Linked DNA regions of Coturnix japonica. The protein of the gene in region 1 purifies or fractionates together with the protein of each later gene. This does not show direct contact. Links are inferred from orthologs where the notes say so. Each region holds a gene or a part of one and is shown in the gene's direction. Other genes may lie near its edges.

Region 1 (4,017 bases):
CAGCTCTGGAAGCCAGTAGAAATTCTTTGTGAGTGTTTACAAAGAGTTAATAAGGGAATTTAGCTGTAGTGGATGGAGAATAAGTTACAAAGAGATGGATGAATCTGTAGTGAGTACTCAGTGCTGGTACTTGAGATGCATGGATGTTTCTTTGCACTCCACGTGTTAGTCTTATGGGGTCTGGTGTTACTTTGGATGTCATGCAAAAGTAAAGAGACAGAGCCTGTGCCACAGCTTTCAGCCATAGATTGTGTGAGTACTGCAGGAGCTGATCTGATGCAGCCACAAAAACAAGTGGAGATGGGCAATGCAGCATAGAAACACTGAGTCTGTTTGGAATCCCTCCCTCCAAACTCCAGTGGAGGGCTCAGAAAATTGATTAAGCCTCCACAGACATTGGTGTCTTTGTGAATTAAGGTGATGTGTCTGTCTACATGGCAGAGGACAGTGATCTCTGCATCCAGACCCCAACACGCCCGATATCTCAGGGAGAGGTGAGGGAAGCAGAAAGGAGGAGCAGCTCATTGCACGGGGATGTTTTATCACCTCTTCTCTGCCTTTCCCCACTGAGCACAGATAGTCCTGACTGCTCTCTGTTGTCTGCTTGAATCACATCAATTTAAAAGGGTTATAAGAGGCTGCCTTTAACCAAAGCTTTTCTTACATCTCCTTGTCCCTCTCCTTTCCTGGATGTATCCAGAGAATCATCTCATTGGAGACCCGTTTCCACTTTGAGGACCCAAAGGGGAATATCCACTTAGCAATTAAAGAACAAATGGGGTTAAGAGGATGCTGGATGTCACCCCAGCCCTGCCACCACCATCTGCCCTCCCTGCAGGGCTGTTGTGTGCTCAGATATCTATAGGAACATCTCATTTCATGCTAAGAAACAACCAAATAACAGCAAATAGATAATAACCAAATCGACTCAGCCACTTATTTTGCCTTATAAATGCAAACAGGATGAACGAATTGCATTCTGACTGCAGACCACCGCACACTGAGGCTTCCTGGAGGTGTCAGGATGACAAGCAGCGTGTGGTTGAGGTGCATTGCTGCACTGTGGCTTTATTTTGCAGCGTTTTTATGCAGGACAGATCAGAGCACACATAGATAAGCACAGCCTGATAACACACATTGATAAGCACTGATAACACACAGCGCAATGCGCCTATAGCGCCCCCTAGCGGTGCGGCGGGCGCTGAATTCTCGCGTGATAAAGCGAGCGATCTCTTCCGGCTCTCAAGATGGCGGCCCCCGTTGAAGGCCGGTTCCGCACCCGCGATGTGTTGCTGCCCGGTGGCCCGTCTGATTTCGGCTCGTTGCTGTTATCGCCTCCGGTTCTGGAGGGGCTGGAGGCGGCTGGCTTCCATAGACCGTCTCCTGTGCAGCTAAAGGCCATTCCGTTGGGGCGCTGTGGGCTGGGTGAGCGGTAGGCCTCGGGGGTGTGAGAGGGCCTTCCCATTGATATATATGGGTTCTGTGGGGTGTGAGAGGCCTTTCCCATTGATATATATGGGTTCTGGGGGCTGTGAGAAGCCTTTCCCATTGATATATATGGGTTCTGGGGGGTGTGAGAGGCCTTTCCCATTGATATATATGGGTTCTNGCCTTTCCCATTGATATATATGGGTTCTGGGGGGTGTGAGAGGCCTTTCCCATTGATATATATGGGTTCTTTTTAGATCTCATCGTACAGGCCAAGTCCGGTACCGGTAAAACCTGTGTCTTCTCCACCATCGCTTTGGATTCGCTGCTGCTGGACAGCCCGGCCACGCAGGTGAGACCTGGTACAGAACCTGGTTCCGAGGCCTTATGGAGGTGGTCTCTTCATGTTGTGGAAGGGGCATTCTGTTCTATGGGGCTCTTTTCGTTCTGTGTGCACCTATAGAAGTTATCCCCTTCCTTCTTCTTCTTTGTATTCTAACGCCTGCTGTATTACTTTCATAGCTAAGAACATATCCGAGCCCTTCGTATGTTGCATATAAACAGCTGTATTTGAAGTCTGAGCACCTCCCTTATGAGGGCAGGCTGAGAGAGCTGAGGTTCTTCAGCCTGACAGGCCCTTATATCAGCCTTCCACTACTTGGTGGGTTCTCCTATAGGAAAAGCAGGGAGGGGTGTTTTATAAGGGCTTATAGTGACAGGATGGAGGGAAATGCTTTTAAAGTGGAGATATAGAATCATAGAATTACCTGGGTTGGAAAAGACCTTGAAGATCATCAAGTCCAACCGCAGCCTAACCAGTATCCTAACCCTAAAAACCCTCCGCTAAATCATATCCCTGAGCACCACAAAGGCTAGATATTAAGAGGAATATCTTTAATGTGAGGGTGGTGAGACACTGGTACAGGTTGCCTAGTGATGTTGTGGAGGTTCCCTCCCTGGAAGGCCAAGCTGGATGGGGATGTGATTAACCTGGGCTAGTGGGAGGTGTCCCTGCCTATAGCAGAGGATTTAGGACTAGATGATCTTAAAGGTCCCTTCCAGCCCAAACCGTCCTGTGGTTCTAAATCATCACAACTTGATGTGCTTTGATCTTACAAGCTGTTCAGTGGTGTTCAAACACAGCTGTTTGTTACTCGCAGGTTCTTATCTTGGCTCCAACTCGAGAGATCGCTGTGCAGATTCATGCTGTTATCACAACCATTGGGATCAAAATGGAAGGTTTGGAATGCCATGTCTTCATTGGAGGTACTCCTTTGAGCCAGGATAAAGTCCGGCTAAAGAAATGCCACATAGCGGTTGGCTCTCCAGGTATGGGCATGCTTCACTTAGCTTAAACTTCAAGTTAATATTTGAGAAGCTAAGTTTACTTGTATTTCTTCATATGTAGGTCGAATAAAACAGCTCATAGAGTTGGACTACTTGAATACTGCCAGTATCCGGCTCTTCATTCTTGATGAAGCAGACAAGCTGCTGGAAGAAGGCAGCTTTCAGGAGCAGATCAAGTGAGAAAACCACTTACCCTGTGTATTTATCTGCAGATTAGATTAATCTTTGTTATTCATTCCCATTTTTGTCTCTCATAGTTGGATTTACTCTTCACTGCCAGCCAATAAACAGATGCTTGCTGTTTCAGCTACTTACCCTGAATCGTTAGCTAATGCATTGACAATGTACATGAGAGAACCAACGTTTGTGAGGTTGAATCCTACTGATCCTAGTCTCATTGGTGAGTCGTGTTTATTGATCATGTTGTCAATAGATTGTGAGCTAAAATAGCAGCTTAGCTTTTGTGTCTTTATGGACATCCTTAATCTAATGACTGTCTTGGTTTCATGCTCAGGGCTGAAGCAGTATTATAAAATAGTGAATTCGCATCCACTTCCACATAAAACATTTGAGGAAAAAACCCAGCACCTGCAAGAGTTGTTCAGCAAGATTCCATTTAATCAAGCATTGGTCTTCTCGAATTTGCATAGCAGGTAATAAACCCATTCAAGGATGAATTTGCGTCTTTTTTTAACACCTTTTTTAAAGATCTCAAAGCAATATGCAGGTTTCTGAAATACAGGACAGAAATGTTGGAATAGTCTGAAATGTTAACAGTAAAACTTCAGCACAGAAGTACATTAGATTACACTGAGTCCTATTATCTGTTGCTCATGTCTGTTTATAAAGGAACTGTCCATAAGATGATAGTAGAGTCCTTGCCTGTAAAGAACAGTGTTGTGTTAAGGAACATACATGGGCTGTTATATGTGCAGTCTTAATTACTGTTTTTATTGTGTATATTCTATTAGGGCTCAACATCTAGCTGAAATACTAACATCCAGAGGCTTTCCTGCTGAGTGCATTTCAGGTAAACCTGTTTAGAACTTTCTGTTGGTTGAAATGGTGTGTAAATATGATCTAACATAAGAAAATACATCCTGAAAGCTTGATTTACATGGCCTCTGTTTGAATAACTAAGAAGAGCAATAGAATCTTCATGGTCTCTAAGACTTGCATGTTAGTTCAATTTTTGCTTTGATGAAGCTTCTAGTTTGTTTGAGAATCATGTTATGAATACTT
Region 2 (4,263 bases), on another chromosome or scaffold:
TTTCAAGAGAGGAAAAAGGACACATACACATTGCAGCAAAAACAAGGGGACAAGCAAAAGAAGTTTTGATACTTTACAACCAGGGGGTTCTTTTACATAAGTTTTCTACTATGTAACTTTACAGGAAGAAGCATGCATAAACAACAGGTGGGAGACGCACAGAATAGAAGAACTGATCGGGGAAAGCAATTCAGTTGAGCTGAAGGACAGTAACACAGGAACATCACATGGCTTTATTTCACTTTCTTCAGTGACACTGCTCTGTGATTGACCTCCAATGGCTCCAGCAGAGACCAAAGCTCTGCACTTTGAGTACCACACACTCAGCTTCACTTCTGGAACTGGGGATGCAGCGGGCAACGACCAGCACCCCCCAACATGCTGCTCCTCCAGAGCAGAGGATTGGTCGCTGTAGGAGAGCAGGGACCGAGGAGAGTCGGGCACAAGAGATATGACCTTACTGCACTCTGAACCAAGCACAGAATGGGGCCCAATGAGAGACACAGAGCCCAAGCGCAGAGGAGGATGGGGAGCAGCCCAACGCACACAGCCCACACCCACAGAATCACAGAATGATCCGGGTTGGAAGGGACCTCAAGGATCATGTAGTTCCAACCCCCCTGCCTGGCAGGGCCACCAAACATACACCTTTACTAGATCAGGTTGCCCAGGGCCCTGTCCAACCTGGCCTTGAACACCTCCAAGGACGGGGCATCCACAACCTCCCTGGGCAGCCTGTTCCAGGGCCTAACCACTCTCCTAGTAAAGAACTTCCCCCTGACATCCAACCTAAATCTTCCCTCTTTTAACTTAAAACCATTTCCCCTAGTCCTGCTTTTATCAGCCCTTTCGAAGAGTTTACTCCCCTCCTGGGAGTAAGTTCCCTTCAGGTACTGAAAGGCTGCAATGAGGTCACCCCGCAACCTTCTCTTCTCCAGGCTGAACAAACCCAACTCCCTCAGCCTGTCCTCATAGGGGAGGTGCTCCAGCCCCCTGATCATCTTCATGGCCCTCCTCTGGACCCTTTCCAAAATCTCCATGTCTTTCTTGTACTGAGGGCTCCACACCTGGACACAGTACAACAGATGGGGCCTCACAAGAGCCGAGTAGAGAGGGACAATCACCTCCCTATCCCTGCTGACCACCCCTCTCCTGATGGAGTCCAGGATCCCATTTGCTTTCCGGGCCTGCTGCAGGACGGCAGAACCCCGGACTCACCTCTCCGGCCGAGCCCAGCCGAGAATCCCCCGCATCCAGGCTCCACCTGCAAGGAAGAAACAAGGTGAGCTCGGGTAGAAGCGAGTGAAACTCGCGGGACACCGCTCTCATCCCCTCACGCTCACCAGCACCTCCCGCACACCGCGCCGCCATCTTCCCCTCCTCGCTTTACGGCGGCCGCTCCCTACGCATGTGTAACCAGGCGGGAAGACTGCCTGTTTTTGCGACACTTTGCGACGCTGTGCTCGGCGGGAGCGGCGTGCAGGCATGGCGGCAGCGGTGCGAGTATTGCCCGCATCCCCCAACTGGTACTGCAGCCGGTGCAGCCACACCAGCGGCGACGGGCGGCTCTTCGGCTTCGCCGCCAGGCACCGGATCAGCGTGTTGGATGTCAGCACCGCTACGCCGACGTTTCACGGTACGGCCTCGACCCCCCCTCCTCCCTCTGCGTTTATATAGGAGCGGCCGAGCTCCCGTTGGAAATGGCGTTCTCACGGGGCTTATCCCGGTGCAGGGGAGCTGATCGGGCACACGGAGCGAATCGCCGCCTTCGCCTTCTGCCCGCACCGCGAGCACAGCGCCCTGTGCGCCAGCGGAGCCGACGACGGCAGCGTGAGGCTGTGGGACGCGGTGGAGCTCGAGCAGAGGGGAGAGCACGGCCTGCACCAGGTGGGACCGGAGCGATGATGCTTGAGGTGCTGGGTGCTGCTTGTTCCCATAGCCTGAGGTGTACGCTGCCGTTACAGCATCGTAATGGGATGCTGGATGCTGTTAGCACCTCCTTGCTGCCGCACCCAGCTGGCTTTGCAGCCTCCTGGTGTTTCCAGTTAGTGCATCTCAGGATGCTGGTAGATAAATGGTAACTCAAACAGTTTAGAACAGGGAGTGCTTGTAGATTAGTTGCTTGTTATCCTGTGCTATACAGTCAGAATGGTTGGCTTTGGGGTTCAGGGGAGCCTCTGTGAGCAGCACAGGGTGCTCCTCAGGGGCTACTCTCAGCTCATTGTAGAAAGTGTGGTGCCAGATCTTCTCCATATCATCCCAGTGTAAAAGTGTTAAAGGTGTATGTTTGGTGGCCCTGCTAGGCAGGGGGGTTGGAACTACATGATCCTTGAGGTCCCTTCCAACCCGGGTCATTCTGTGATTCTGTGTAATGGTTGAGTTGGAAGGGACTTCGATGATCTCTAAGGTCCTTTCCAACCTGCACAAGACCGTGATACTGTGTGACTTCAAAGCCCATCTGGTTCCAACCCACTTCTGTGGGCAGAAACACCTCCCACCATATCAGCCATCATCCACGGCCTTGAGCACCATCAACAATGGGGCATCTTATGGGCCTCACCTTCCTCTGAGGATGATCTCTAGGCAGGCTGTTAGAGCAAGTTTTCCATCCCAAAAGAGCCAACTGCTAAATGCACTTTGCTTTATTTTGTGCTTCAGTTCTTTAAAGAACCCACAAAATGAATTCAGTGGCTAAGCGTGCTCAATGGCTTTACATGTATTCAATTGCCTTTCTTCAGAATGCAATCACAGCGTTACACTGGTCACCCCTTGTGAAAGATCTGATTGTGTCCGGTGATGAAAAAGGGGTAATTGTTTGCTACTGGCACAGCAGAAACGACAGCCAGCAATTCTTCCCAGAGCCTCGGACAATCTTTTGTCTCACTTGTTCTCCTCATCATGAAAACCTGGTGGCTATTGGGTAAGTGTTACGTTTTACTTTCCGTTCTTCCATCTCAAAGTGTCTTGTAAATTAGATTTCATTAACATTCCTCACATTACAGGTTACATCATCTGAAGAGAGTTTCATAGCTTTACTGTCTCTTTACCAACAGCTGCCATTTCAGTCCTTTGGACACCTAAGACTACTGAACAAAGCAGGAACATGAAAGCCTTTCAAAAGAGATGAGAGAGAATTAAAGTTATTTGTGGAAAAGGGAACAGCTTTCCTTATATAAAAGTCTCTATTACTTTATAAGGCTCTGAAAACTGTATTGCTGATAAATTGGTGTTGTTCTTGGAGCCAAATATACTCCCTGGTTGCACTTCACAAACAGAAGGCAGCTGTGTTTGTGCTAGTGCTACACTTGAGCTCCAGTTGACTGGTCTCATTGCCACTTGTGATTGGGCTTCTCTGTAATGTGGAGACACTGATCCTGGGTAATAGCTTGCAAATCAGATTAGTTGTTATTCCGTGAGGGTTTAACAATCTATCATTAACTGAAATCTCTGTTTTTAGCTACAAGGATGGCATGGTGGTTATAATTGATATCAGCAGGAAAAAAGAAGTTCTTCATCGGTTAAGAGGTCACGATGATGAAATTCATTGTCTGGCCTGGTGTCCTGTACCTGGAGAAGGAAGGTTACCTGCTTGGCAAGATGAGCTCCAAGGTACGTAGAAGTGATACGTAGTTTGTGAAGTGATACTTAGCTCAGGAGAATGTCCCTGTGGAGAACTAAATTCCTTATCCCTGTAAGGTCAGTAGGTAGCTAATCAGAGGTAACTAGTTCAAGTAAAATATTTTCTGATCCAGAGTAGTAGATTTTCAATTAACGTTTAGAGCTTTGAATTCCAAAGTATAATAACAGACTTCAATGGTGTTTCCTTCAGAAGAAGGTGATGTTCCAAACGGGGAGCTGAAACAAGATACAGCCATGAAGAAAAGTTGTTACTTGGCTTCAGGAAGCAAAGATCAGACAATACGGATATGGAGCTGTACTAGAGGCAGAAGTAAGTAAGATTAATCATTTGAGTGAGACAACAACATAGGTGAAGTGCTCCTTTCTAACTGTGGGTTTCATTTGCTAACTCAATAGTTTAAATAGTGGGGAGCCTACTTAAAGTTCAGATTCTCAGGTCTTTTTTTCTGAGAATTTGGATGTACAAAGTCGAGACGATCCCTTTCTTTTCCAAAGGTGTAATGACTCTGAAGTTGCCACCCACAAAGAGAAGAGGTGGAGCTGTTGATCCTGCTGTTAAAGAGCGCATTTGGCTCACTGTCCACTGGCCTTGTGGTCGTCCTACAGAAATTGTATCCAGCTCTT
Region 3 (4,286 bases), on another chromosome or scaffold:
TTTTAGGTAGCACTGAATGTACAATCCAGTTTTTGTCTTTGTTGTTGTTGCTTTTCTGGGTTCTATACCATGACTATCCACAGGATTGTTTGCCGGCTCTCTTTAGTCTACAAACATGAGTAGCCAAACAAAAGCACATCTGGAAGAGAGGGTTTTAATACTCACTGCCCTTGATTCCCAATGCCAGCTGTGGGAGTATCCAGCTGGATGGTGCCGAGGACATGGCATGTATGGTATTTCTCATGAGTTGTTAGCACAGTTAAATGCCATTACATAAGAACCAAGAGAAGCAAAGAGAGGCAATAACAGCAACACTGTCGACGTGTCAGATGTTCTTAGGCAGCAGTGCATGGCCGCAGGTAGCAGCTCACCTTTTATGTGGAAAATAATGGCTACGCAGCTGAGAAACAGCTATGATACTCTGCTCCAGGTGCTTATTCCTCTTCTTCCACTGAATTCCATTGACCAGCTGTTGCATCGACATCGCTGCTAAAATCCGTGATAGTTTTGTTGTTAGATTGCCTGCAATCGTTTTGCAAAGTTACTTGGATTAAATGGTATCAATCAGAAGTTCCAGCAAATAATATGTACAGAAAATATATTAAAAAACAAACCAAACCCAAACATTTGTATTTCTGGCATCTCTTTCCGTTCAAAGACCTTGACTCCGTGACAGATAGAAAAATATAACTTCAGAATATGACCAAAGCTTTAGAAGAGGACTCCTCAGTTTTACTCACCGTTGTTTTTGCTTGGACTGTTGGTCAGCGGGGCCATTGCTGTGGCTTTGGGCTCGCTGGACTTATGTCCAGCAATGACTGCAGCTGTTGCACTCAAGCAGGATGTGAAATCCGGGCTCCCTGTTACACGTAAGTGGATTTAGAAACACCTTAAAGCAAACAAAAGGTCAGCGGAGAGGAGGAGTTAAGGCTGATGTTTGTTTGGAACTGCTAACCTACAGTCTTATGGGAAAATAAAGGACAAAACCGAGGTCAATGTAAGAGGCTGTTCTGCTGTATGGGCTGCATTTAGCACACTGATGACATGCTGTACTAAGAAACAACAATACACAGGAGTTTAATAAGGGACAATTTACACTATTTCAGTAAGTACAGCATTGTCCCTCTGTGTTTTACCTGAGAAGTAACCCACCTCAGTGCTACTGCTGCTTTGATTTGGGATAAACCCATCCAGAAACAAAATGAAACCTCAGCCAAACGCTTCCAGGACTACACCTGGATTTACAGCAGTGACCTTTTAGGCAATTAATTTGCACTGTAGGTCTCTAGACGTGACAAGGAAGGGATAAGAATTATTACTGCCCTTCCACGGGCGGAATAGACAGTATGGGTGAGTTGTGAAGAGCTACTTGCGAAAGCTAAGGTAGGTAATGACGCGGGGCCTAAATGTGGTTATCAGAGGTGCCGTCCAGCTCAGTAACGGGGTTATCGCTGTGGCCGGTTCCCCGGCAGGACGGCACAGTGCACAGCCCCGCAATGGCCGTAACGCCCGGGCACGGCGGCGGCGCTCCGCCTGCGCGAGGAACGTCTCTCGCGAGAGCAGCCGGGCCGGCGGCCGGCGGGGAGAGGCGGGTCGGCCGTGTCGGCGGGGCGATGGAGGCGGCCGTGGAGGAGCTGATGCCGCGGCTGCTGCCCGTGGAGGACTGCGACCTGCCCGACGACTTCGACCCCAGCGTGCCGCCCCGCACGCCGCAGGAGTACCTGAGGCGCGTCCAGTGAGTGGAGGGACGGGGGTTGGCGGCGGGCCGGTCGGGCCTCACTTCAAGGCAGTTTAGGAGCATGCAAACATAAGTGCAGTTGTTTATAAAGAGTTAATTCTGAAGTCAGACCTTCTGTAACAATTGCCCGTGGAGTCAGTTGGTTTTTGCATAAGTGAAGATTTCTGCAGGTGCCGTATATCAGAGGCATTCGTCCTATAACTGCCCATTGCAATACAGTGGTTTGGTTTTATTTTGTAGGATCGAAGCAGCGCGATGCCCAGATGTGGTCGTGGCACAAATAGACCCCAAGAAACTGAGAAAGAAGCAGACAGTAAATATTGCAGTAAGTTTGGGCTGCTCTATTCCTTTTGCTATAAGAAACAAGCAGCAGGAAAGATAGGGAGGTCATAAGCATAACTGAAACAGCAGCTTTGCTGGATCTTAAAGCTCCTAATGAAATAAATAAAACTTTAGGGTTCGAAGAAATACCTGTTGAGTTTCTGGGCAATAAGGAGTCTTTGTAGCTGATCAGTGTAAATCAGCCATAGCCCTACTAACTGACACACAGCAGACTTCTTTTTGCCTGAAGGAATCAAATGCTGAGCCAAATTCTACAAGTCTATCTTAAAGCATGTGTGAGCTTTAGAAGAAAGCAATATCTGTATCTAGATTCAAAGACCCTGAAGATCATATATAGATGTATGTAAGGCAGTAAGAGCAGTAAGTACAGCTAACGTAAGATGAAATGTTAGCACCATTTCTTCACTTGTTGATGGAATTTCTTATTGGGATTTCCCCTCTGTTAATAAAAAGGAGCACTCTCCTTTTTATTCACAGGGAAGTTAAAGCAGAATAGGTGCTAAAAACATGACCTTAAATGATTCTTCAACAGCACATTCTGTGTGTTTAATTTTCCTTCTTTGCATACATGCACCATCAAGCAGGATGAATTTTGTCCAGACTAACTGTTAAATCAGTTGTCAGGAAATTGCCTTTCTTAAAGCGAGTACTTGTATTTTTATCTGCTGGCAGTCTGTCGTTGTTGTTTACTACTTCTCTTGTTCTTTAAGGATTATTTTTATAAAGCTTTTTATACATTATAATTATTGCCAGTGTTTTCTTAGATTTCTGGCTGTCAGCCTGCTCCGGAAGGATACTCTCCAACACTCAAGTGGCAGCAGCAGCAAGTGGCCAATTTCTCATCTGTTCGTCAGGTAGAAAATTCTGTGTGTGATGGAGACTGGAGGGATGCTTTAAACTTGCACATCTGTGCTTTAGGGGGGACAACCTTCTATCTTTCCTGCCATAAAGCCATGACATTTTGATCAGATGTTGCTAGTCAACTGCTTTAATTTCTTAATAAAAATAGAAAAATAAAATGTGAATATACTGTGAGGCTTTTAAACTTCTGATGAAACTCATTCCTGAGAGTCAACTCTTTGAAAAGGTAGATAATGGCAGGACAAGGGGAAATGGTTTTAAGTTAGAGGGAAGATTTAGGTTGGATGTGAGGGGGAAGTTCTTTACTATAAGAGTGGTGAGTGCTAGAACAGGCTGCCCAGAGTGGTTGTGGATGCCCCATCCCTGGAGGTGTTCAAGGCCAGGCTGGATGGGGCCCTGGGCAGCCTGGTCTATTATTAAATGTGGAGGTTGGTGGCACTGCCCGTGGCAGGGAGATTCATGACATTTTGATCAGATTCATGATTGGAGATTCATGATCCTTGAGGTCCCTTCCAACCCAGGCCATTCTGTGGTCCTGTTAAAGCAAAAATATCTGGCAGTATTTACACTGAATGATACATAGCACTCCATGAAGGACAGAAATCACTGTGATGTTACACAGTGACACTAAAATCAACAGTGTTCTACGTTGTTCTGTAGAACTATAGAACAAGTAGATTCCAACCTCACCATGAGCTTCATATATGTAAAACACTGTCCATTTAGAGTCCTATGGGCACTAGTGGGAGCCATTATGTTCAGAAATACCGATCTGCTAAAATGGATTTGCAGTGCGGAGGTAGTGTTAGCACAGACTTTCCTACCACATTTGTATCTTGCTTTGACAGAAAAGAATTGAAGAACTGAGCAGTCTCTCTCTATACACTGTTCAAACAGGGTGTATATGAAGATTTTAAGACTAGTAAAACTTACTACTTAAAACGTCATGCAGTAGACTTTACAATTCCTTTGACTTTAATATTATTTCCAAAAACCCAGTATAAGAAACAGTTATATTTATACTAAGAGGCTTGATGAATATGTGCTCAGTAATGCCTTTACTGATTTCAAAACATACTTTTTTAAGTGAAGATAAGATTATGGCTAGGATCCAATAACTGTAAAGTTAAAACTGATTTGGCTTTAATTATTCAGAGCCTGAACAAGCACAGAAATCACTGGCGGTCACAGGATTTGGACAGCAATGTTAACATGGTAAGTAGAATTCTTAACAGTTCTGTTTTTTCTAGTCATTACATTTGTGGTTAATTTTGTTTTACAGTGTAATTCAACAACTGGTATTATCATGTCTGTTCTTTGGTGTCTTCAAGATAGCTATATTTCA
Region 4 (2,479 bases), on another chromosome or scaffold:
CTGTTCCAACTGGTTGCCACCACAGGCTTGGCTCCATGTGGTCCAACTGTACTGCAGCAGCCTCACAGACCTGCTGAGCTCCATCAAGAGCACCACAGGGCCCCCCTTGCACCCTGCTGAGCACAGGAGCTCCGGGGAGGAGGTGTCCTTTGTCTGCATCCAGGTGTTTTGCCACCTCCTGCACATTGCAGCCATGCTGCCTCCAGACAGTGAGTGTAGTGAGCCGCTGGTGGTGGTGGCCTTGGAGGTCCTCTCTCAGTATGAGGTATTCAGTTCTGCTGATACGTCCCCCAGCAACGTACTGAGGAGAGCCAATGAGAAGCATTTCCTGGAGTCCATCACTGACAATATCAGTGACAAGGCTTTGCGCAGCCCCCTCCTGCAGAAGCTCAGCAAGCTGGGTGCTTAGGGCAGCCTGCTTGGCCAGGGACAGCACGAAGAGCCGAAGGGAGAATCAGGAGAGCACTGACCCTGCTGCAAGGGACCACTATGTGGAAAACTGTAAGATCCGTAATAAACCTCATCTATTTTTCACTTTTGAACTAATTTCTTCCCTGCTCTGTTCCCTCCAAACCTGTCTAAACAGCAAAGCAGCCACATAAACAGCTGTAGACACAACTACTGCTGCTGCGAGCTCAGTCCCTTGGCCCCAACCTTGCTTAATATTGGTCTGGAGTTTCACTGTGCTCACAAAAAGCCTCTGGCACCAGGAAAGTACTTCTGTCAGGCTGTCCTCTCCTCGCTGTGGCTGCACTGCTGTTTGTGCCAAAGCAGGATGCTCTGCGGGATGAGCAGGCACCTTGGGCAATAGGTGTGGGCTGCTGCCCCAGGGTGGGTGCACAGTGGCAAACTGCTGCCTAAATGCCTCCCCACCCAGCAATGAATGGCACGTGGGAGGGAGGCATCCGGTGGTGTGACTCAAGAAAGAAGTCTTTATTGATCTCTTCTGATAGGTACAGTAGTAAATAGGGCAGTGTTAGTGCAAACTGAGATGCCTCAGTGACTGTCTTTACATAAGGCACATTATCTGTAATAAAAACAGCAATATACAAATATTTGCAATGGGTAGCAAGCGGTTTATAACAGCAGCTTGTCTCAATGGTTAATGTAACAGTAGTGCTTGTGCAATAACCGACTGCGTGCTGGAAGAGGCTTTTGTAAAATCATTATTATTCTTTCCAGCCTGTACAGCCATGGCTGGGACAAGATCTGACACCCAGAAGAAATGGTTCTCCCAGCCTGGGCCCCTTCCAGCCATCCTTTTTAGCTTTTAGACAGAATGAAAGGCACAGAGTGGGTGCTGGTCTATCAACTGCTGGTGCAGCTGGATGCTCTGGAACAGAGGAAACTCCAGGCTTGTGCAGGAGGCTGTGGGGAGGACCTGGCTGCTCAGTTTTATGCTGTGTTCAGAGAAAGAAGGGCACCTGTCCAGTTTGTGTATGTCTGCTGGTGGTGCTGGTTCCTCACGCACTGAGCAGTTCCTTCCCTGCCAGGTTCAGGCAGGTCTCCCTTTGTAGGGGACCAGGATGGGGCAGGAAGGACAGAGCTGGAGCTCAGGCTGTACCCAGAGTGCTGCTGGTGTCAGCTGAAGGGAGAGCAGGGGCAAGGAAACATGTTGGGCTTTCAGTTACCTGATAGAGGTAATGAGGCAGATGAACCCATCCCCTTATGCAACTGCAGCCAGGCAAGGGGGTTGAAACCAGCCATCACCTGCCATAGAAGGGCTCTGTGTTGGTGGGATAGGGACTTTGCAATCTCCTGCCCTTCAGTGATGGCTCTTGCCTGCCTGGCTTGCTCTGACAGAGTGCAACCAATCCTTGGATCCTGCTGGGGCTCCAGAGCTGCCCTACTCCCTGTCAGCCACAGACATCACAGTGGTACTGAAAATCCCCTTCGAGTTAAGTGGAGAGTCCTAAGTAAGCTTGAGCCCAGCAGCAGCAAGGTGTGGGCAAGTCAGAAGCTGAATGCAACTGTAGTGTAAAGGCACCATTGGGGAACAGGCTGTGCAGAATCACAGGGCCTGGTTTTGCTCCCTGCTGGAGGAGCAGATCTGAGCCCAGCAGGGACAGCACGCAGCTCCCACATCCCCAGCACTGCTGCTTGGGGCTGGGCATGCTCCAGCATCGCCTACACTGCTGCATCCACTCCATGAGATCCTTTGTGCAGTGCCTCACTCTGTGCTGCCATCAGCTCTGAAAGATGAGGGATCTGTAACAGTCCCTTCTCATGTAACCATTAGTTTGGTGCTGCAGCATTGAACCCTAGAAGGAATGTTATGCTTATGGGGAGACCTCTTCCTTGCTCAAGGTGCAGGAGCAGCGTGGGAGGAAAGTCCCCCTAGTTGAGACCAGCACTGCTGACAGCAGGGCTGCCTCATGGCATCGATGCTGCTGTGCTCCCACGATGGTTCCTGCAGCTCTGACTTTGCAGGCAGAAGAGCTGTGGGGGGGAACAACCCTTCTCCAGCCCTCGTGCTCCG
Region 5 (4,027 bases), on another chromosome or scaffold:
CTGAAATCACAATCAAAAAGTCACCCCAGAGCAGAATCTCTCAGCTAGAGCGGTGACGTGCTAATAGATATGTACGGAGCTCCCCTCAGTGGCAAGAGAAGGCATTTTCAACATTGTTATCTAGCGCAGGAGCAGAAAGGAATCTTTGGAAATGTAAATATGTACACCAAACTCCTTGATTCAATCTCTGCTTGATCTACTTTAATCAAAGCACTAGAAACATGATTTTTCACTAAGATAGCTTTATTCATGTTCAGCAACGATTTCTAAGAAAATTCAATCACTGTGAAAAGATGTTTCTAATCAAGCAAATATTATAAGTCACCAGTGACAGAGTCAGGCCCAGGTGCTTTATAACATCTGATTGGCACACTTGCTATTCTGTGCAGTGATGGGGTGAATTGCTCTATATGATTACAAGTCCCTGATTACTTCCTGACAAGCTGGAGTTAATGAATATTTATTTAATTCTATTGGATAATTGTCTGGATAATGAACAGATAAATATGAAACACTGAATAAAAAAATGTGATGTTTTTTTTTCCCCCTTACTTTCCTGCTGTCTGATACACAACAACCTTGACTAAAAACCAAATAAAACAAAATCTTACTATTTTTATTCTAAGCTTGTGAGGCTTTCATTTGTAAATATCTACTCTTACCACCTTTCCTATTTCCAGTAATATCTCCAGCCTTTCTTGAAGACCTGAGTGCCTGTTTTTCACTTTGAGGTTTCTCTTAGAATCTTTGTATTAAAAGTTGTCTAGTCTGAATGCACTGAATTAATCCATTTCTAAACCAAAGATTGTCAGACTGTAGGGAATAAACACACCTAAACGTTAGTGTTACAATGGATTTAAGAGGCAGGGATAATCTCTTTGGACTTTAGTACTTAATCAAATTTTGATTGGTATGATGTGGTCCCCTGTAACATTCCCTCCAAATTGGAAATAAATGGATTTGATGGGCAGACTGTCTGACAGATGAGGAACTTGTGAGATAGTATGCAGACAGAGGTGGTCAGTGGCTCAGTGTCAAGGTGGAGATCAGTGACGATCCCATAAGAGTCAATACTGGGGCTAATGCTCTTCAATATGTTTATCAATTACATCAATGGTGGGATCTCCTCCCCAGAGCAGTTTCCTCTTTGAACACCACAGCTCACGTACCGGCTACCAGCACTTCCCCTTCCGCACCCGCTCTCTGACGTATTTCCTCTCCGGAACGCTTCCTCCGCCGTCATTTCCTCCGCTGCCGCCAACACCGCGGTCGCCGTTTCCCACCCGGCTGGAGTGTAGCCGCGTCCCCGCCCAGCTCCCTGCGCGTCCCGAGCTCAGCCGCCGCCATGGCCATGAGGCAGACCCCGCTGACGTGCTCCGGGCACACGCGACCCGTGGTGGACTTGGCCTTCAGCGGCGTCACCCCTTACGGCTACTTCCTTATCAGTGCCTGCAAGGGTGAGCGTGGCTGGGGGGGCGAGGGGTGGGCGGCCGTGCTCGTTTCACCGGCCCCTTTCAATAGTCGCAGTGGCTGGGCCTGCTCCGCACTGAGGCCTTGTGGGTTGCGGGCCGCTGTTGGCGGGTTGCGCGTGGCTGTGGCCATAGCCACCTATTTGAGAGGTTTGCGATGGGGAGAGTGGGGAGGAGGGTTGAGGTGAGCGTTCAGTGGGCCCTCCGTGTTCTAAATACCTGCTTCCAGCGTGACCAGATGGAAAAGGGAACCGGTGGGAGGCTGGTTCTGCCGGGTTTTAGCCCGCAGGGCTTTGAGGCTCCCATTCATTCAGGCTGAATCCCACTTGCGAAGGAAAGGCTTGAAAATCGTTATCTGAAAGTAGCTATAACTTTTACACACTTTAAAACCAGCTCCTTTGCAACCAAGGTAGCTGCCTTGCTGATTGCGGAGCAGTGATTTCTGCTTCCTTTCCCACAAGAACTCTCTTCTGCTTATTTATGAGAGTAGCATTTTCATTTCTATGCATATGAGTTAATGTTCACTTGTGTTCACAAGTGTAAAAGAACATTCCTCGATGTCTCTGAGGACTTAATGTTCAGCTCTATTCATTGCATGAATTATATCTGGTTGTGTCCTAGCAAAAAATAGTCACAGTAAAGGCTTTCTATTTCGTTATTACAGCATATCTCTTTGTGTTTTAAACATCTCTCATTACAAACCCCAGACTCCTTTTTTGTGTACTGTTAGTCTGAAAATATTGTTCTAAAATGAATTGAACTGACCTGCCCAAGGAACACTTGGCTATATTAGAAAAGAAAAAACAGCAAAAGGTGCTCCTTTTCAGAGGTGCATCTGTACATTTAAGTTCTTCAGCTATACCATTTCACAGTGTATATGGTGTTTCCATTAAGGGAGGCCAGTCTGGTGGCAGTTTGATTGCTCCATGTTGGTGTGAGGGAATTGTTTCCTAACACAGCTTGCTTTTTTTGTTATGTTGTCTGAATATTGGTTTTGTTTTTCCAAAGATGGAAAGCCTATGCTACGTCAGGGTGACACAGGAGACTGGATCGGCACTTTCCTAGGTCATAAAGGTGCTGTCTGGGGTGCTACGTTGAACAAAGATGCCACTAAAGCAGCTACAGCAGCCGCAGATTTTACAGCGTAAGTGATTACCTGCTTTTGGAGTCTTGATTTTAGTCAATAGCCTTTTTTTTTAATATGGCTGTAGTAAGTTGCTGTGGTTTTGTTTTTGTTTAAGTTGTTACTTTATATCTGTATTACAGCCTAGAATTTAAGGTTTTTATGAGTAGCTACAGCTAATTCTATCTTGCTGAGCAACTGTGGTTGCTTCTTGACATATATACTTAGTTATAGTGCTGATTTATTGGAATAAACAATGCTGTGCAGTTCTCGACTTCAGTACTGTAGTTATACGAGAGTGGCAAGAGTGATCTTCGTTTTGTGTACCACTTTTTATTAGAAGAAGACATGCAGAAATATTAATGAATTATTTCTTTTATTTTTGTTTTGCTTGTTTGAACTGTTTGCAGCATACATTAATATATTTGACAATTCAAATCCTGTTATTAGAATTAAGTCCATAAAAGTTGCAGAGAAGAGCTGCCTTTGTTTGTCTTAAATCTAAAATGCTGCTGATGTGTTATCCTGAAGAAATTAGTGAAAGAAAATGATGGGTCAGTAACAAGAAATTCTTCAGTGAAAGAATATGAGGTCTGTAGTTCATTACAATGTAGCATTTAGGATTAAAAATGTTATGATAGTATCAGGAAGGATTGTATAGGGTAGATTAGGAGAGACAACTTAACTTGTGTGTTCACATTTATCCTGGAGCTATTGAAATGTACGTGTTCTCTCTTGTCATTTAGCAAAGTGTGGGATGCTGTGTCGGGAGATGAACTAATCACATTGGCTCACAAACACATTGTCAAAAGTGTGGATTTTACACAGGTATGGAAAATCTTTATAGCATATTCAACAGAGAGGTAAGGTCTTCGGCATATTTTTTTATTTGCTACTTTTTTTATACATATGCTTAGGCTGGCAAGTAATTTAGCATGCATTTAAGCTTTGCTCTTACAAACAAGTTGTAATAAATGTTTTAGAAACTGAGAGAAATAACTGGTATTTTAAGGCTTATGGATGAAGGCTGGTATTTCAATTCAAAGTAGAGTTGACCCTTTATAACTTCTGTTTCAGGATAGCAATTATCTGTTAACAGGTGGACAAGATAAATTGTTGCGTATCTATGATTTAAGCAAGCCGGAAGCAGGTGAGTCTGCACTTACAACTGGTTACTGTTGGTTTTGTTTGGTTGATTTTTCTTGCGTGTGAAATTTGTTGTGAATCACAAAAGACACACTTGAGGCTCGTTGTACAAAGAATGTGTCTATAACAGTTTTCTATACTAAATCAAATTGTTTTAGTCTTTGAAGTAAAATAGAGCTTATCTATGAAGAGATTTAAGGATAGTGTGATTGACTTTAACAGGGACTTAACTATGACTAGGTCTGAATAAAGTTACACTACCCGAAAGGCAAAAGACTTTTCATATTGA

Evidence for each region.
Region 2: the proteins of DDX20 (region 1) and GEMIN5 purify together in Homo sapiens (affinity purification with western blotting; 6 studies listed by BioGRID and IntAct, counting the BioPlex papers as one, with this or other methods). This does not show direct contact. The link is inferred for Coturnix japonica from reciprocal best matches to the Homo sapiens genes DDX20 and GEMIN5.
Region 3: the proteins of DDX20 (region 1) and GEMIN2 purify together in Homo sapiens (affinity purification with mass spectrometry; 6 studies listed by BioGRID and IntAct, counting the BioPlex papers as one, with this or other methods). This does not show direct contact. The link is inferred for Coturnix japonica from reciprocal best matches to the Homo sapiens genes DDX20 and GEMIN2.
Region 4: the proteins of DDX20 (region 1) and GEMIN4 purify together in Homo sapiens (co-immunoprecipitation; 7 studies listed by BioGRID and IntAct, counting the BioPlex papers as one, with this or other methods). This does not show direct contact. The link is inferred for Coturnix japonica from reciprocal best matches to the Homo sapiens genes DDX20 and GEMIN4.
Region 5: the proteins of DDX20 (region 1) and STRAP purify together in Homo sapiens (affinity purification with mass spectrometry; 3 studies listed by BioGRID and IntAct, counting the BioPlex papers as one, with this or other methods). This does not show direct contact. The link is inferred for Coturnix japonica from reciprocal best matches to the Homo sapiens genes DDX20 and STRAP.

What each region holds. Positions count from the first base shown.
Region 1 is NC_029541.1:3,411,381-3,415,397, forward strand, and holds the start of DDX20 (probable ATP-dependent RNA helicase DDX20), read left to right. Parts: upstream 1-1,212; 5' UTR 1,213-1,247; coding exon 1,248-1,425; exon of another isoform or gene 1,426-1,432; intron 1,433-1,685; coding exon 1,686-1,780; intron 1,781-2,588; coding exon 2,589-2,757; intron 2,758-2,836; coding exon 2,837-2,951; intron 2,952-3,032; coding exon 3,033-3,175; intron 3,176-3,289; coding exon 3,290-3,428; intron 3,429-3,746; coding exon 3,747-3,805; intron 3,806-4,017.
Region 2 is NC_029528.1:6,019,499-6,023,761, reverse strand, and holds the start of GEMIN5 (gem-associated protein 5), read left to right. Parts: upstream 1-1,456; 5' UTR 1,457-1,485; coding exon 1,486-1,636; intron 1,637-1,732; coding exon 1,733-1,887; intron 1,888-2,738; coding exon 2,739-2,920; intron 2,921-3,457; coding exon 3,458-3,609; intron 3,610-3,817; coding exon 3,818-3,949; intron 3,950-4,134; coding exon 4,135-4,263. Other genes in the region: MRPL22 (39S ribosomal protein L22, mitochondrial), read right to left, coding at 1,219-1,264, 1,344-1,371. UniProt on the Homo sapiens protein: The SMN complex catalyzes the assembly of small nuclear ribonucleoproteins (snRNPs), the building blocks of the spliceosome, and thereby plays an important role in the splicing of cellular pre-mRNAs.
Region 3 is NC_029520.1:34,102,042-34,106,327, forward strand, and holds the start of GEMIN2 (gem-associated protein 2), read left to right. Parts: upstream 1-1,481; 5' UTR 1,482-1,496; coding exon 1,497-1,735; intron 1,736-1,978; coding exon 1,979-2,063; intron 2,064-2,844; coding exon 2,845-2,934; intron 2,935-4,096; coding exon 4,097-4,156; intron 4,157-4,286. UniProt on the Homo sapiens protein: The SMN complex catalyzes the assembly of small nuclear ribonucleoproteins (snRNPs), the building blocks of the spliceosome, and thereby plays an important role in the splicing of cellular pre-mRNAs.
Region 4 is NC_029534.1:5,686,169-5,688,647, forward strand, and holds part of GEMIN4 (gem-associated protein 4), read left to right. Parts: coding exon 1-409; 3' UTR 410-2,479. UniProt on the Homo sapiens protein: The SMN complex catalyzes the assembly of small nuclear ribonucleoproteins (snRNPs), the building blocks of the spliceosome, and thereby plays an important role in the splicing of cellular pre-mRNAs.
Region 5 is NC_029516.1:57,765,951-57,769,977, forward strand, and holds the start of STRAP (serine-threonine kinase receptor-associated protein), read left to right. Parts: upstream 1-1,222; 5' UTR 1,223-1,345; coding exon 1,346-1,457; intron 1,458-2,477; coding exon 2,478-2,613; intron 2,614-3,338; coding exon 3,339-3,420; intron 3,421-3,669; coding exon 3,670-3,742; intron 3,743-4,027. UniProt on the Homo sapiens protein: The SMN complex catalyzes the assembly of small nuclear ribonucleoproteins (snRNPs), the building blocks of the spliceosome, and thereby plays an important role in the splicing of cellular pre-mRNAs.